3 linked regions of the Xenopus tropicalis genome follow. The protein of the gene in region 1 interacts with the protein of each later gene in a pairwise test. Links are inferred from orthologs where the notes say so. Each region holds a gene or a part of one and is shown in the gene's direction. Other genes may lie near its edges.

Region 1 (4,103 bases):
CTTACATTTTCGCCAGTGGGATGGCAATTTGGGGAGATTAGTCGCCCGCGACAAATCTCCCTGTTCGCGGGCGACTAATCTCCCCAAATTGCCATCCCACCGGCGAAAAAGATTTCACTAACCTCCCCGTGTGCCAGAGCCCTTAGGGTGAAGACACATTGCTAATAAACGCCAGAAAATACCCTGCCATAGACAATACTGACAATTGCCTCTGCTAAAACACACATAGAGACAGTTATTAATAAATTATCAGCATTTTCTACTTGTGTAGCCACAACAAGTAGCTGCTACTAGTAGCTCCTGTGTCTTCACCCTTAGGGCTCTGGCACACGGGGAGATTAGAAAATGCCTCGAGAGGCAACTTCGCGATTTGCCGAAATCGCCTGCGTGACAAGGGAGATTTGTCGCGGGCGACTAATCTCACCGTGTGCCAGAGCCCTTTATCACAGAACTTGCAAGGCATTTGGGAAGTGAAGTCTTGGTTGGAGGAGAGCTGACTACTGATACAATGTGACAATGGCATGAGCAGATAAGAAAAGCAAAGGCCAGACAGGAACTGATTTCAAAAAATTATATATTACATTGCAATGCGTCAATAAAAACCACCTTGGAGCTAATACAAACTTGAATTTCTGGCTAAAGATAAAAGCTATGATTGTACCTATTAGGTGAGGTTGATATTTTTGTTTTCTAGTCATGTACGCCACATAAAAGCTGAATATGCGCTCAGTACCTGTCCTAGAACTACAACTCCCACAAGCTACTGCTGACAAGCTCAATTCTCACTGACTCGGTTTTTTACGTCCTGTAAATCCTTTGTACCTTGAGTCTCGCTGTCTTTCGCTTCAGGCCAACACTCTGCAAGGAGCCCTCTACCACCACTTCTTTCTGTATTGTAAGACTGTCACTGTCACCATTTAACCCAAACTTCCCCAAATCTGAGCCCACCTAAATATCGTCACTTCAAATGTGTTTTACTTTGCTCATACGGAAGTCACCTGACCGGATATCATGAGTTTGCGGCAGACATTTCACAATACGGGCAAATCACGCCCAGGTTTTTATTTTTAGATTGAAAATGCGAACGACAAATAAAAAACCTTGAACGATTTGAATTAGTACCCGCTCCCCCAGTCTATGTTCTTGAAGCAGTGCGCAAAAAAATTCTGTGGTGCTGTGTAAAATCACCTTTGTATTCGGTACAGCAGCAGGACCAAAGCCCTCAATAAAGATGGCCACAAACCAGTTCTGCTTATTCTTCCCTTGTCAACCTGCAGCAATTCTTCGCCGCATTGTGCAATGACGTCACCACTCCAGAGCGTCGTGACATCATTACGTATACTGACCCCTGCCTGTAAGCCTAGGAAACCCTGCGAGTAGCTGCCAACGCCCGGTGGAGAGAAGGGGAGAGGCTGAGCGGGTAAGTGGGGGGAATCTTTCCGAGCGCTGGCTGTTTGGGGGGAACATTATCCTCACTCGGGGGCAGTGTATGGCTGGAGTGGAACTGTTCGCAACGCGAGGTATATAGGGGAGCGCAGGGGCAGGGAATTGCTGTGTGGCCTCTGTAACAAGGAACGGGGAGCGGCCCGGTACCGCATCCTGTCGGGCTATCTGGTATATGGGGGGTCGCGCCCCTGGGTACAGTTGCGGGCTGCTTGTGCAGGGTAACTCAGTGGGGTTAATTGCGTGAGTTTGACATGTTTGGGTAAACCGGGACTGTATTGGCTGTGTGCGCTGGAATTTGGGGACTGGACATGGTAGGTGAGGCTTATTCTCATTAGCTGTGCTTTCTTTTACTTGGGTCTATCCGCCCGAACGCTCAAGCATTCGGTGAGTCTGCCAGGGATGCTGGGAGTTGTAGTGGGGCTTTAGGTTAAGATCGCTTCGTTACTTGCCCCTCGGGACCCTAAAACAGCAAATTTGGGAGGGGGCGCTTTAAGATCAGCTGTGTTACCGATAGATCGGCGGATGGTGGTGGTTTTTGGGGGGAGCAGGGAGGAAATACTGCAGGGAGGAGGCTGCTGCTGGGGGAGGGTAGGAGGGAGAGGCTGGTTCTGTACACTAAGCTGTCAGCCAGCATCAAGGCCTTTTAGAAACCAGGAAAGAATTTGTAGATTTTGGCTCCTCGGCTAAAATAACCCGTAGTTTGGTGGAGGATGCCGGAACGTCGCGATCATAACTGCTGGAGGGCCGGCCACTTGTGATGTCCATCCCCATTGGCTGTACGGGTTCTGCTCATTCTTCCTCTAATCAATATACTTTGCAAGTTCTATTGGGATTCTGGAAGGCCTTTGATGTTTGCTCTGTAGTGGCCCCTACAGCATTTTTGCCCATGCCTGTAGCTTCCAGGTCTCCAAGGGTACTGAAAGGAAGGTAGAGAGCAGACACTGGGCATTTTCTAACAGCCTTTTGGGGGTGGGGGGGGTTAGAAAACATATAAAAAAAAACTATTTGTATACCTGATTAGCATCCTTATCCAAAATTGGTGTTAGGCGTGGGCATAGAGAGTACTGATAGAGATTATAAAAGTTATGGAGTTTGTTACAGGCAGGCTGCAATACAGTTGCTGTTTTGCTCCCCTGTGAGCACTTAGGGAATTGGTCCCCAAACAGTGATTTGTGATCATCTTGTTCTCCTCCTCTTTTTATAGTGCGCCAAACAGCTTCATAGTGGGCACTCATTGGGTCCCAGGTAGATGCGGTTTGGCAACCCCAGAAAGTTCTTTTTTTCATGCTTTCTGGTTTTGCAATATTTTCTATGTGAATGCTGTGCCTATCCGCTCTGTTGGAATATGGGTTGAATTTTGGCTGGAAAACATGCAACTGCACATTCAGGCCAAAATAAACCCCATGTGGGTACTGACTTGCAGTGTGGTGCCTTTCATTGCTGCTGGAACATGAGGCACAAGGTGTGATGTTACCCTTATGGTGACCTCACTGAGGAATTGTGATACCCTTTGTCAGAAGGAGAAAGTGGCTGTTAGTAGCCAACTAAATTATCTAAAGACCTGCAGCTATGAAAGTGCCCAATCTGCCATTAACCCCTAAGTCAAAAGTAGAGGCAGCACATACTTGGCAGAGATTTCATTTGTGATAGAACATCTCCATGCAGATAAATAAATTGTGAAGATGGCAGTGCCTGCTGCTGCTAAGATCCATTTCTTTGGCCCTGCCACTGCAACTGTGAATCTGAAGCAACTTAATCGGGCCACACCTGGGGGAGCTGCATTGGGTATATCTCACTAGCTTTTGGCATGACAGCAGTCTTACTGTAGGGTTTTGTTTTTGGGTAACGGGGAGGGTTGAAGCATTTAACTTAACAGCTGGAAGATATATTGCCAATTTTAATGCTTGCACTAAGGAATGTTTCCTGGTATTCATGTTACTATTTCTGTTTCCTTTGTGGCAAATAACAAACCCATTCTTGCTTTATGGAAGGGACACTAGATATACAGATATACCTGTCACTATCAGAACCACTGTCACACAAGACAAAGCAGGATCAATGAGCCTTTATTTCAATGGCTCATTAACATTTACTTCACTGCTGCTTGGAATCCCTGTGGCTGATTTAGCAAGAGATAAGGAAGAGTATAAGTAGGTTCAGCTGAGGGGAAAGCAAATTGATGGGTGAAGTTTCCTTGCTTACTCTGACCTCATAGTCGTCATCCTGAGAGAACTTTAGGTGTAAGTTCTTCTGTACTGCTCTGCACTCTCGGTTGCCAGTATAATAGATGGATTTTGTATGCTTGTCTCAACAAAGCTATTCATTGGGCGGACCTGTGATTTAGAAGAAAATAAGTGTGTCACTTCCTGAGACGGTGTTTGATATTGCATTACCATCAAAAACTTTAATCACATTCTTCTTTTTTTGCTAATGGATCCTGGTAAAGCAGGGCCAAAACGACATTCTGTCAAATTCTCCTAGGGCAGTGGAACTTACTCAGGGAGATTTTAAGCTGAGTTGGTGCCATTGAATGCAAAATGTCTGCTGTTTTCATAATGACAAATAAGAAGGTGGGCATATATCAGTCATACTTAACTGGGAAATCTGTATCTGCATTTCCTAAGTAAAACTCATTGAAGCTTGCTGTAAAAAAAAAT
Region 2 (3,654 bases), on another chromosome or scaffold:
GTTTTAGCAATAATTTTACGGTTTAAAAAATTAGAATTGTGAAGTGGCATGTTCAGAACTGTTGACAGCCTCACACCCAAATACTGTAGTGCTACAAATGAAAAAAAAAAACCTGTTAGGCTCAGTGGACATTAGGCAGTTCCACCATGTCTTATTAGCAGCAGCAGGAACAACTTTATTTAAGGGATTTACACACTTTCATTACGCCACAGACTCACTGACTTGAGTGCCATTCTTATTTGTGCTGAGTTATATGATGATGTCTGGTCAGGCATCCAGAGACCAGGATCACCACCAAATACTAGATGGAAAGTACATGCAGGTGATATTAAACTTAGATTGTAAGCTCTACGGGGCAGGGACCTCCTTCCCACTGTGCCTCATACCACATGGCACTTATATATATATATATATATATATATATTTACTGTATTTATTTATTATATCACTTGTCCTCCCTGTGTGTAATTTTGTATTCTGTAAGATTGTACAGCGCTGCATACCCTTGTGGCGCTTTATAAATAAAGTTATACATATATCCCATATGCAGTATGCCACAAGGAAACTATAGAGTATTAAATACTGCAGTGGGCTCTTAGCCTATACATTATAATAGACACATGTAGTGATAAGCATTGCCCTTTTTCCTCTGCCAGATACGGAAACTACCCTGGAAATGTTGCACCATCCCTGGCAGCAGGCCAGGACTGGGGCTCAGAAATGGCCTTGGCAATCTAAGTACATAGAGGCCCAATCAGCTCGGATCAGCCCACTAAAGAGTGACTGTCTATGGCATCTCACTTGTGCCCCTTTGGTATTTGCTAGAATCTACAGATTGCCAGTCTGGGCCTGCCTGGCAAGCAAGGTTTTTTCATTTGATGGACCATTAGATCAGTGGAAATGGGAGGTGATTAGCATTTGGGAATCTGCCTTTAGTGAGAAATACTAAAAAACCTGGAGCATCTTGTAGGGATTATGGCAGTGAGACCCAACAATAGGAGAATCGCAGTACCTGATATAATTTGCTTACATTATTTTGTTTCTTATTTCAAGATCCAAAAGACAGAACGTAAAAAGAGGAGGAAAAAGGACTCTGACATTGTAAGTTTACCTGCCAGTGTAATCTCTTTATCTACCACTCTGCCCACACCCTAACAGCATGTTTCCCATTCTTGTGACAAACAAGAAAACACATAAAAACCCTATCACTTTGCTCCCCCCTTCTCTATAAAGACTTCTAGCACACTTCTTTGCCTCTTCATGCACAAACCTTCACTCATTTCCTCTGTTCCTGTACCTGCACAGTCCAGCTGAATCCTTATCTTCCTTGACTGCTTCTTTTTCCTGCAATTTTGCTCTGTCTCCTAAGCTTTCTCTGCTATCCTTTGCCTTTTACAGGTAGAAGAACATAATGGTCACATATTTAAAATCACCCAGTACAACATTCCAACATACTGCGAGTACTGCTCCTCACTCATCTGGATCATGGATCGAGCTGCTGTCTGCAAATGTATGACTGACCTTGACATAGAAGCAGTTCATTTTGTGGTAGTGCATATCTACAAAATATTGGGTTCAGTGTGTGAATTCTACCCATATAACAGCTTATTGACTAACATAGAGTAACATATATAGCAACTTGTAGTTCTATAACCAAAGCAAGTTGCTAATTGGTTGCAGTGGATTATTAAGTGCAGATACTAACTTTTTTAGTCAAAATGTCATGCTCCAACATGTATGTCTATATTTATATTGAGTCACTCAGTACAATATGGTTGTGTTGTCTCTTGAGAGCTTGCTACTGTACCTGCTAGTGTTGAACTACCTGTCACAAATTGTTCACATACACACAGTTGTGATTTTGTGCAACTTCTCATCAAACAATGCTGTATTTCAGTGTGCCGATACGCCTGTCACAAGAAATGCTGTTCCCTGATCAATGTAGCGTGCAATAAAAAGGTGAGAAATAGAGTGGATATCTGTTGTCAGTTTTATATTTTTGTATGTAAGCGCTGCCCTCTCATCCTGCATGCTTCTCATGTTACTTTATACCTATCATGGAGACTGTAATGGAACCTGCTAAGTAGTGCTTTCTATTAGCTTTGTCCTCTGATGTTGGGTATCATGTCTGTTAATCAATATAAAGTTTCAGTTTCTTCAGTCTCAGCACTTTGCTGGTTTTATATTGGTCTATATTACTCTAAGAGAATATCTTAGCTCACATTAAGGGTATGTTAGTTACTTTAAATGTATTCCAGTTATATTTCCAGGAATAGCAAAGTGTTAAGCCATATTATCATCTCCTGGATTAATTGCACCAGAACAATAAAATAATATTATCATTATTATACCTGTATGAACATGCATTACAGAGGCCCAAGCTTTTCACTTCTGTGTTAAATTGATGCAGTTAGCCAGAAAATGCCATCTTTATCTAATGGATTGCTGTCTCCATTTTGCAGCAGTGGTTGTTGGGCAGCAAGCAGTGAGCTTATGAGATATGTAGGCAGCAGTCTGGCATCCACTGGTGCTGGATGAAAGAATAAGCTGCTTTACTGGGGAACAGTTAGTTGCATAAGGATGGAACTTTATGACTCCATATTTCTATATCACTTTACCATATAAAAGTTTATTTACTAACGTGGTTCAGTGTGCATTTGTTCATAGGTACAATTTACAATATTTTTTACCAACAGTGTAACAGTTTAATTGCAAGCCTTGCAAATTATGCACCTGAAGCTACCTTATCTCTTAGCTAATAAATTGCCCCAGTGCAGCTATCCTTGGCAGATTTTTGCTTTGATTATCTCACTTGTAATCAACTGCTACAGATAATTGCTGATAGTTTGCTAGTAGCAACTAAACAATATTTTAGTAAACAAACCCTTATTTGTCAATCCTGGTGCAAGTGTTGCAGCCATTTTGCCAATAAAGGCACATTGCATGAACATCAGTGTGGGTTTTCCAGCAAGTGCAGTGTCTTAAACCACTAAGAAAGCCCTGTACCTGTGCCCCTTTAAGGCTCCAGAGCATTCTGCACATTGCACTTTTCATCTTTGTATATAAGAAGGTGGAACCAACAAATCAGTGCACAGAGGAAGTATAGAGTGCATGTGTGTGGGCATATTAATCTATGGCCTATCTGCCTGTTTAACACTGCATCAAAAAGTTGTGAATAATGGTTTCAGTCAATAATACTCAAAATGCCTGTGCTCTTTGTCTGAGACTTTTCTCATTAGCAAAAATCATTATAATCAGCGGAAATCTCCTGACATTTGCAGAGACAAAAAGAAGATGCAGAGACAAAATACATACGAAGACCCAGTTCTGGGTTAGCCTTTAATCATTTGCCCAGTGTGTCATAGTATTTAAGTGGTTGATCTCAGCAAGGGTTATGTAGGGTGCCTACTGAATTTATTCTAAAATTTGTGCCTTCTAGTTTTATCTTTGTTCATTTACTATATTTCTCATTGGTTTTGCTATTCACTTTATTCTTTTTTCTTTCCCTTCCTTTTAAGCATTTTCTATTTCATTTTTAATGTCGGTTTTGTTCTTCTGTCCTTACCCAGAATGACTCTGAGCTTTCAACTCGGCAATTTGGAGTGGACTTGTCGCGCCTTACTAATGAGGAGCGCCTGGTGCCTGTGTTGCTGG
Region 3 (3,654 bases), on another chromosome or scaffold:
CTTCACAGGTTCCTCTCTGTACAGCAGAGAATTATGTGCAGTCAAGAGTTGTTATCCAGATCAATGACAATTGTTTAACAGGCGGGGGAGATTGAAATTGTTAAGGTTGATATACACAGGATGATCGGGTAAGCTCAGGGGCACTGCTGCAATAAGGTGTGTTGACAAACTCGCATCAGGCTTCAGTTCCCCCGCAAGTTATCAGAGGAGGCAGTTGTTGGTGAATTTAAGAGCCAAAATTCCGATTTTTCAATCATAATTTTGGCTGTTTTATTGCAGAGTATGCAATTGCAATGCAACCCCCCCACAAAATCGTGAGCATTTAATGCTCTGCACAAACATAAGTTTTTTTTTTTTTAGGTCTTGCATGATAAAGTGATAGAAGGAAAAAAAATAAAATTACTCAGGAAGCAATATATCTTATTACGTCTGTATGAGCAAGTCAAATAATCTATTTAAGTTCTAAACGAGATTAGTTTCACTCCCTGTTGCACTGCTATTTTGTTTGTGTTGTCTGTATGCCTCAAAGTAGCCACCACTTAGGGATTAAAATTAATACATATTTATTTGTCAAGTATTACAATGGTACACAGAAGAAGTACAGGTATGGGACCAGTTATCCAGAAAGCTTGGGACCTGGGGTTTTCTAGATAAGGTGTATTTCATACTTTTAGTCTACTAAGAAATCATTTAATCAATAATTAAAACCAATATGATTGTTTTGCCTGCAGTAAGGATTAATTATATCTGAGCTGGGATCAATTTAATCAAATAGATGATTTGATCAAATATTATTTGATTAAAATGGAGCCTATCTAAGATGGCCTTTCCGTAATTCAGCGCTTTCTTGATAATAGGTTTCCAGATAAGGGATCCCATACCTATATTATGTATATCATGGGAAATTAAAAGGCTGTGACAGGTTCCTACACACCAATACAAGTATTAGACCCCTTATCCGGAAACCCAGTACCAGTATCCAGGAAGCTCAAAATTACGGGAAGGCCATTTCCACAGTCCATTTTAAGCAAATAATTCTACGTTTTAAACATATTATTTTTTTCTGTATAATAATAATAAAACAGTACCTATTTACTTGATCCCAGTTGAGCAGCATGAATCCATGCTGGGGCAAACAATCCTATTGGGTTTACTTACTGTTTCAGTGATTTATAGTAGAGGTATGGAGGTCCAAATTACAGAAGGATACCTTATCAGGAAAACTTCAACTTCCAAGCCAGATAACAGATTCTATACCTGTACTACAAAAGTGTCCTATATGGTCCTGTTAAAGGGAAAGTATTACTGAAAAACATGTCTGAAAGAGACAGAAGCACAGTATGCCAGAAAATGCCAGACATACAAAAAAAAAGCAACCTTTTTATCCTACAGGATGCCCTCCCCTGAAGCCATAGGCCTTCATTACATAGCACAGACTAATTTAGACAGCAGTGTTTTATGCACTTGAAAATACATGGATTTTCACTAAAAAAAATCAGTAAACTGCACTGGTGCTAGATAGTAAGCCCCATGATGATAAGATCTCAAGAGATTATTGTTGTACCTTTTATCATGAACAGTATGTTCCAAGGCAGTGGAAATCTTTGTTGATCTGATGTCATTTCTAGTCTTATAGAGCCCCACAGTGGCCACTTGAAGGTATGCAGTTTATGGCATGATCTCATTTGAGGTGTCTGGATCTGAATAATGATTTATGCAGCTGTGCTGTGGCAGCAGGGAAATTGGTCACAGCAAGACTCATTCTGTAGACAAGTTAGATTGACATCATTTATTCTACTGTATCTAATTTCTTTGGGCTATCAATTATATTGACTGGAAAATGAACAATAAAATGTATGCTACAGGCAGATTAGGCTTTTGCATTATACACATTCTTTAAAATAATACTGTTAAATCAAATTAATTTTTCAGTTTAGGAATAAATAATGTTGGTGAATAATATTAAATCAAGGCAAATATAACAAGAGATAATAGGGGGTCTAAACCCATTACAGAAATGAAAGTAAATTAACTCAAAAGTGTTTCTCTGAGCACTGTAGGTTTACAGTAACCTCATATTTTGAGTGGTTTCTTACATTTTAGCAGTTTTAGATTGCTAATACCAGGCTTTCAGCTCTGCAATACACTTTCAAAGCTGTCGGTAACCCTGAGCTATGCAGATGGCACCAAAAGCCTGGTACAGATTTTAGCAGTCTAAAAACAAATTACTCACAACCAGCAGTATAAATTTACATTCATTTTCTTTTTTCAGTTTAGATCTGCTTTAATGACGGATTACTGGGATAAAGCAAATAGCTGCAGCTATTTTACATGTATTTTAAACGTATTCTGTCTGTTATAAAACCAACTTGCAGGCGTATGCAGAAAGGCTTAGGCCTTGAACATAAAAAAATAAACAATATCAACCAAGGATAGCCATATCAATTATGTGAATTTGGTCCATTATTATGTGACAGGGGACCCTGGCCAAAAATTGGCTTTTAAGGGATGCAGTTTTTCAAATGAATTTATTTAGATATTTTGTTTTATAGAACTTATTGTTTTAATCATCTTTTGTGTAGATTTGTAAGCTGGTTATGGTTTACATCACTTCATGTTTTATTCATACAAATGAGCAAAGACAGGGTGAGTGGAGCAGCAGGGAGCAGTGTTGTATATGAACCATATGTCTTAGAACTTCTCTGTGGGACTAGGGCCCTGGGAGATACATACGGTATAAGTAATGGGGGAACTCATTACATATTTGCTTAGAACTTAACAACTACAAAGTGTGCATGCATACTCTGTAGGTATTACTGCTTTGGTAAGTACGGTATAATAGAGCACTATGATAAGTGGGAACAGGAAACAGAATAGGGTATCTAGCAATATGTACTCTGGGACATTTTTTTGTGTTTGCATGCAAACATTGGTTTCTTATTTTTAGTTTCTTTTTATATTTAATTCCAGGGCATCAGGTACAGTGTACACAGCAATAGACATCGCTACAGGACAGGAGGTAGGTTGCACTTCTGCTTGTAACCAGTTATACTGTAAGGGATTTTTACATTTATAGTTTGGTGTCTCAGCAAGCTGTTGTACTAGCACAGCTTAAATAATTCCCAGTGTATCCAAGACAATCTTAGTCCTCTGTTCCCTGGCCTATTAGTGGGGCATGACATGCCAGAAATTTGTGTCTCACATATAATTTCTGTTCTAAGGCTCACTGTCTTTCAAAGATTTTAAAAAGCACTGCTGGAATTTCACATAACATTTTGTATCTATAGATGGTTATGTTTTCATTCCCATGCCTGACCTTTTCTTTTCCTAATTTAGGTAGCGATTAAGCAAATGAACCTGCAACAACAGCCGAAAAAAGAATTAATTATTAACGAGATCTTAGTCATGAGGGAAAATAAAAATCCCAACATTGTGAATTATTTAGACAGGTAAGTTGAACTTTGTCATCAAATTGCTGGTTTATTTTGTTATGCGGGGAAGAAAAACATTTGGAGGTCTGGGTGTTACTGAATTAACACATGTAAGGGAAGTATGAGTGTAATACAGTGTCCAATTTTATATCTTATTGCTCAGTCTGAGAAATAAGAATCATGGGATAGCCTTCAACCTGCTCTATCTATCTATCTATCTATC

Evidence for each region.
Region 2: the proteins of cdc42 (region 1) and myo9a interact in a two-hybrid assay, tested with the Homo sapiens proteins (3 studies listed by BioGRID and IntAct). The link is inferred for Xenopus tropicalis from reciprocal best matches to the Homo sapiens genes CDC42 and MYO9A.
Region 3: the proteins of cdc42 (region 1) and pak3 interact in a two-hybrid assay, tested with the Homo sapiens proteins (2 studies listed by BioGRID and IntAct). The link is inferred for Xenopus tropicalis from reciprocal best matches to the Homo sapiens genes CDC42 and PAK3.

Annotation. Positions count from the first base shown.
Region 1 is NC_030683.2:94,443,560-94,447,662, reverse strand, and holds the start of cdc42 (cell division control protein 42 homolog), read left to right. Parts: upstream 1-1,276; 5' UTR 1,277-1,420; intron 1,421-1,429; exon of another isoform or gene 1,430-1,520; intron 1,521-4,103. UniProt on the Homo sapiens protein: Plasma membrane-associated small GTPase which cycles between an active GTP-bound and an inactive GDP-bound state. In active state binds to a variety of effector proteins to regulate cellular responses. Involved in epithelial cell polarization processes.
Region 2 is NC_030679.2:91,972,021-91,975,674, reverse strand, and holds part of myo9a (unconventional myosin-IXa), read left to right. Parts: intron 1-1,053; coding exon 1,054-1,101; intron 1,102-1,398; coding exon 1,399-1,510; exon of another isoform or gene 1,511-1,548; intron 1,549-1,897; coding exon 1,898-1,959; intron 1,960-3,569; coding exon 3,570-3,654. UniProt on the Homo sapiens protein: Myosins are actin-based motor molecules with ATPase activity. Unconventional myosins serve in intracellular movements. Regulates Rho by stimulating it's GTPase activity in neurons.
Region 3 is NC_030684.2:51,559,522-51,563,175, forward strand, and holds part of pak3 (serine/threonine-protein kinase PAK 3), read left to right. Parts: intron 1-2,970; coding exon 2,971-3,019; intron 3,020-3,336; coding exon 3,337-3,449; intron 3,450-3,654. UniProt on the Homo sapiens protein: Serine/threonine protein kinase that plays a role in a variety of different signaling pathways including cytoskeleton regulation, cell migration, or cell cycle regulation.